Linked DNA regions of Neurospora crassa OR74A. The protein of the gene in region 1 interacts with the protein of each later gene in a biochemical or structural test. Links are inferred from orthologs where the notes say so. Each region holds a gene or a part of one and is shown on either strand. Other genes may lie near its edges.

What was found. The genes of interacting proteins can lie anywhere in the genome.
Region 2: the proteins of rpn-2 (region 1) and rpt-3 are reported together in a solved structure, tested with the Saccharomyces cerevisiae proteins (2 studies listed by BioGRID, with this or other methods). The link is inferred for Neurospora crassa OR74A from reciprocal best matches to the Saccharomyces cerevisiae genes RPN2 and RPT3.

Annotation. Positions count from the first base shown.
Region 1 is NC_026507.1:236,614-238,656, reverse strand, and holds the end of rpn-2 (26S proteasome regulatory subunit rpn2), read right to left. Parts: coding exon 1,357-2,043; intron 1,290-1,356; coding exon 807-1,289; 3' UTR 525-806; downstream 1-524. UniProt on the Saccharomyces cerevisiae protein: Acts as a regulatory subunit of the 26S proteasome which is involved in the ATP-dependent degradation of ubiquitinated proteins.
Region 2 is NC_026507.1:3,145,811-3,149,992, reverse strand, and holds rpt-3 (26S protease regulatory subunit 6B), read right to left. Parts: upstream 2,821-4,182; 5' UTR 2,437-2,820; coding exon 2,240-2,436; intron 2,172-2,239; coding exon 2,073-2,171; intron 2,011-2,072; coding exon 1,041-2,010; 3' UTR 348-1,040; downstream 1-347. UniProt on the Saccharomyces cerevisiae protein: The 26S proteasome is involved in the ATP-dependent degradation of ubiquitinated proteins. The regulatory (or ATPase) complex confers ATP dependency and substrate specificity to the 26S complex.

The sequences.
Region 1 (2,043 bases):
CTGTCGACTAACTGGAGGGTAGATACAAAGACCAGGACTGAATATTCTAGTGTGGTGTAGGATGAAAGCAATGCCTGGATGAAAGGAAAGGATGAAGAAAAAATCGGGGGGAGGACTAGACTGCTATGTAAAGTGGAGTGAATTCCAGATACTAACTTCTATCAGTTTCAGATGTGTAACGAAGGAGGTACCAGACCAGACCAGACTATCAACTTCAAAGAAAAGACCAGAGACAAAACACATGGAAACAAACGATTGAACGACGTCGTCATTGCTGCCAAGAAATCCAAGTTGTTCCACAGGGACCTGGACTGGTCGATGACGTCGCGCCCTCCCCGGGGAATCCGCTGTAGGGCTCTTGCATGTGATTCAAGGGCGGGTATTAGACTCTTAACGACGGACCACAGCATAGCTCCGAAATATGTTAGTATAGTAACTTGTGTGATTCCTGTTTGGACAACTGTTTCCAAACACGGATCTCACACCGCGACATGTTGCTGGATGGATCAGTTCTCAAGTAATATGTACAATCCGAGTAGTGTGATCGCTGATTTCTAGTATCGCTGATAATGGGTCTTGATGCAAGATACTTCCTACTGTATATGCTTAACTTAGTGTAAAGACCACCTGGGCCTTCAATCAAACCATGACCGTTCATCTCATTTTCCATCGCTTTCATTCACCACCATGGCACCAGCCACAGACACATAACACCCTGACAAGATTTCAATGCCCGTCTATTCATTCTCTTCACCCTTCATTTCACCACCATCTATTTCCTACTTCTTTGGCTTCCGCTTAGACCTCTATTCTTCGTCATCCGCCTCCGCATCAGTAAAGTACTCAAACTCCGCCGGCGTCGGCGCCTCCTCATCACCCTCGGCATCTTCATCGACAGCATTCAACACCGCAGCAGCAGCAGCCGCACCAGCACCGCTGCCAGCCGTAGCACTAGCTCCAGTTCCACTTCCCGCCGCAGCACCCCCAGCACCGCGAGCTCTGCTCTCCCCGAGTCCTGCAGAAGCATCCTGCTCCATACGCTGGCCAAGCTGCAGCAGCTCGCTGAGTTCCCGCATGCTGGACCGGTTGAAAGCGCCCGTTCCTTGGAGCTGGCTAAGGAGCGATTGCGCCGCCCCGCCAGAGAGACGGGGGGTTCCATCGCTGGCACCCGAAGCACCGGCGCCGGCAACGGGGGCGCGCTCCGTGGTTACCTTGTTGAGCTTTTCCTCTACAAGGGACTTGGCCTCCGAAGGTTGGGTATCGAAAAGGAGGAGGGGACCACCGGTAGGCTGGAGGCAAAGTTAGTTAGTACACAAGATATGAGTTAGGTAGATTAAGTGATGCAGGGCAGCTCACCTTCTTGACTGGCTTATAACGCCCAGCCGGGAAGCTTATGTACTTGAGCTGGCCAGGCAGAATACGAGACATGTTCTCAATCTCGTAGCCAACCTTCTCCTTCTCCGCCTTCTTCTTGGCGTCGGTGGCGCCAGTTGCCTCCTTCTCGCCAGACTCACCCTCCTTCTTCTCCTTGGACTCTTCAGGCTTGGCGGCGGCCTTCTTATCGTCGTCGATATCCATCTTGTCCTCGGCAGCAGGCTGGGAAGCTGTCTTGGAAACAGCCGGCGTGTCAATGTCCATGCTCTCACGACGCTGCGCCTTCTCCTTCTTTTGGGCGCGGCGCTTGGCCTGCGCCGTGGTAGACAGAACCGCAGTCGTGACCAAGGCGGGTCCCTCCTCCACCTTGACCTCCTGCTCCGGTGGGTAGTCGAACAAGCTGGGACGGGTAGCGCAGTGGAACTTGACGTTGGGGATGGCCAGATCACTGTCGAGACCAATGATGGACGTGGGCACAAAGCTAAGAGACAAAAAGTGGGTAAAGGGGAACCAGTACCAGTACTGGGTAAACACTGCCATGCCAACAATGCCCGCCATGTTGAGGTTGCCCGTCTGGGTCTGAAGACCAATGGTGCAGTTGCGGCCACCGGCATCAATGATACCGAGGGCAAGCGCGGCACCGAACTTGGTCATCTGCTCCTCGTGACG
Region 2 (4,182 bases), about 2.9 Mb from region 1:
ATTTAAGGAGACGTACACTAGTGAGCGGCGGGAGAGGGGACTGAGTGAGTGTGTTAGACTGACTACAACGATACCTACCTTAGGTACAATCCCAAGTAGGTAGTTACAAGTAGTAGTTACAAATAGTCACATGGAGGATATACACCCTTTACCCCTCAAATAGCATCGAGGTTATTTTGAAGTTTAAACAATAAGTCCTTTTTTTTTCCTTCACTTTTTTTTTAATGAATGTCAAGTGACGGCAACGATATCTAGGAACTACCATAGTGTAGACGCCCTGAGTGGTACTTAAAATTTTGAGGTAACCACTCAAGGTCCTGTTATCAATATGTATGTAGGATAGTATTATCGGATTTTACTCGCTGGAATACCCAAGTACGACCCGACCCTGGCCTCTCTTGCCATCCATAAGGGAGGACATGCTGTAGATACGGTGTCTTACCCTTTCTTATCATCTCTTCCCCTCCCTCCCCCCTGACAAGAAATGTTCTCCAAGCCGACCTTATCATTTTTCAGTAGACAAGAATCTATATTGAAGCACATTACATTTTTCCGACATATCCTCCCTTCATTTAAATGGGATTTGCTATAGCTACGGCGTTTCGGGAACGGAGAACCACCATACAGCCGTAGATGTATCTACATATGTATCAAGATAAATGGTGGCATACCATGACCTGGAGAGAAAGAAAGCGCACTGAGAACTCAATTTCGCCGAGCAAGTTGATCTGAACATGTAAATAGTATCAGCTGGGAGCCAGGGCATCTTGCTTCTTTTCGTTTGGGTGTTACTACTTTTTCAGTTGGAGCAACTCCAGAGAGGTACGCACATATATATATATGTTGGTACCGCTCTAGATTTATTCGCTAGTGTACAAATTGGTTCGCTTCTATGAAAGTCTATAGTCCCTGCTGATCTGGGGCACAAACTATATTTTCCCAAGGCAGCAAGAAGCATAGCACCAACCCACCCAAAATGCAATCTCCCACATGTTCCGTGGTCCTCGACCCCAACACAGCTAGCCCATGACGCCGATGGTTTACTTGTAGAAATCAAACTTGTTCTCGTCGCTCGTACCCTTCACTTGGCTGCTGTAGGCGTCCTCCAAATCAGCCTGGATGATGTTGTACCTGTTCTTCCGTACTGCGCGCAGACCGGCCTCCTGCATAATGGCAGCGATGACGGCACCGCTGAGAGGATCGTTGCGGACAATCAAGCTGTCAAGGTCGACCTCAGGGGCCAAGCTCATCTTGCCAGCAATCGTGGTGAAGATGAGACGGCGCTCGCGGCGATCGCGCAGGTTGGGAAACTCGATCTTGCGATCAAGACGACCGGGACGCAGCAGGGCGGGATCGAGGGTGTCGGCACGGTTGGTGGCCATGATCACCTTGACGTTGGCGGTCTGGTCGAAACCGTCCATCTGGTTGAGCAATTCGAGCAGAATTCTTTGCACCTCACGATCGGCACCCGTCTGCGCGTCGAAACGCTTGGTCGCAATGGCATCAATTTCGTCGATGAAGATGATGGCGGGCGCGTTCTCACGAGCCATGCGGAAGACGTCGCGCACCATGCGAGGACCCTCACCGAGATACTTTTGTACGAACTCGGAACCGACGACGCGGATAAAGTTCGCTGTCGTCGAGTTTGCGACCGCCTTGACCAACATTGTCTTGCCGGTACCGGGAGGACCGTAGAGAAGGACACCGCGCGGGGGGTCAATGCCGATCTGCTTGTAAAGATCAAAGTGTGTTAGGGGCAGCTCAACGGCTTCCCGAATTTCCTGCTTCTGCATATCCAACCCTCCAACATCGGCATATGTAACGTCGGGCTTCTCGTCGGCACCGAGCATAGCAATCGAGGAGTCAGCCTCGGGCGGCAAAATATCGACGACGGCATTAGAGTGACGGTGGAGCGCTACGGAGGATGAGGGCTTGAGGAGCTCGCGATCGAGAGTCGAAAGGATACGGACGACGTAGTTTGAGCCAGTACTGGATTGAACGATACCCGTGCTGAGAGGAAGGGTTAGTCTGGGCCAGTTTTGAAGACGGGGGGTTGCATTGGGCGGCCATACTTTTGATCGATAGCTTCCATGAACTGTCCAATCACCAAGGGGACACTTTGAATCCTCTTGATTTCCTCCTGGGCACGTACAAGCTCACGCTTCAAGCTCCTGCCAGATACCATGTTGTCAGCCCCTCCTCATCAAGCTCTCAGCGCGTGGAGCTTCTGTGACCATACCTCTGCTCATCCTTGATGTATTCCTCCTGCAGCTTGATGTATTCTAGCTGCCTCTGAAGCTTCTTCAAGGTAATGTAGTCATCGCCGCCCTCTGTTGACACGCCCTCGAAGGTCTCGATGTTGGGGATCGCCGAAGGGGCGGACTTCTTTTGAGGCTGGGTCACACTGGCCGGGGTCTCGACAAGGACGTCGCCCATCTTGGCGGATGTTTTCTTGTGATGGTATTAAATGGCTTGATCGATATGTTTCCGTGTGTTGTATCGCGAGCGCTCAGATGCGCGATTGTAATTGACGTGGGTCTGGGGGATCGGTCGGGTGGTATTTCTTGTTGTTCTGTTGTCGTCGTCGAGGTTCGCCTTGTGGCGCGTGTCAGTAGTAGGTTGTCGGTGCTAGCAGTCGCTGATGCAGTGGTCGCTGTTGCTAGTAACAGCAAGCTGGGCTAGCTGTGGCTCGTCATTCATCTGGAGCCTGCGTTGCCGGGTGCTGCCATAAGCACAGTGATTGGCTGGATGACCACGTTCTGGCAGTTATAGTGGACTACCAAGCACAGCTACGGTGCCTGCTTTGTACAATATAGCTTGTATAAGTGCCACACTTATCGATGACAGATGCTCCATTTTTTGTAGCCAAAAGTCGCACTTCACCAGAGACGCTCCAGCTGCAAGTGGGGCTGTTGGACAGTGTCAAGGGGTGACTGCCGGACAGTGCAGATTGGACTGAACTGAACTGAAGCGGCGGGAGCCTTGTCGGTGGCTCCCCCCTCCATGCAGGTCGACCTCCACTTCAAGTTGGGTGCCACCATCGCAGTTGAGCGACTCCAGCCTTTCTCAACCCCACATCCACACGGGTACCCTTGCTAGGCGTCACGAAGTGTCACCTTGACGGCCAGGTCGGCTTGTCGTCCGCCGTCCTCCCCCCGTAACTTGTCTCTGGCTTGACCTCTACACTATTGACAATCGTCTCTTATTTGTTTGATATGTCTTGCATGCTATCGCAATACCCGACGTGGTGTAATTAAGGTTGAGAGATATGGCAGATCCCATCGTCGTAACATCACTTCTCTGTGGCTCAACGTACACTACCGCGATAAGGGATCGAGTTGTCATTCCGAAGACGGCCGATACCAGTTTCTCCACTGTTTGGATCGAATGATGCGGCGATGATATGCTATTGTGGTCACCATACACCACCCTGCATCCCGTGTGTTAGCTAACACATCCTTGCCTGGCTCGGGCCCGTCTGAACGCATCATGGCCATGAAGCGGTGCTGATGAGGGATCGCGAGGCGTATGATGAATGAGAAGGGAGAGGGTTGCGTAGTTGGGGTTTGAATTGCGGCAGTCCAAAGGTTAAATTGCTGGCTTGACTCGATACACTATTTTTCTCTATACAGTACAGTAGAGCGTGCGTAGCCGGTGACTGTCTGAGGAACTGGGGTTGAACATCTTAAGCCCTGAAGCAGATCAGCCTGGGCTCCCGTCATCCGGCGTGTCTCGGTGTGAAGTTACGATAACGACAAAGGACGATTCAGGAACTTTATGTAAAAGTACAACATGAATTGCAGAGCGGTATACTTACTGTAAGCGCAGGAAAGTGCAGACTTACATAGACATGCAACTGAACTGAACTCCATCCACCCGTCAATCCTCGGGTCCCCTACGCAGGCAAGGAAGAGACCCCTTCAAGCATCCGGTGTAATCCCGTGCGTCCATGAATGGTGAATTCGTGGGAGCCGGGGGGACGGACCAGGAAACGCCCAACAACCCCATCCCCGTCCTAACTCAAGAGTCACCACTTTCGGATCGCCTTATTAGTTACTGTACACCTCCGCTTCCTCCGATCTGCCGTTACCTCCTGCTTTCCCTTCTTTGTTATGCTGAAAACCATCCTCATTTCACCTTGATCTCTTCATTCAGCGATACGCAACCGCCGCATCATTCGGC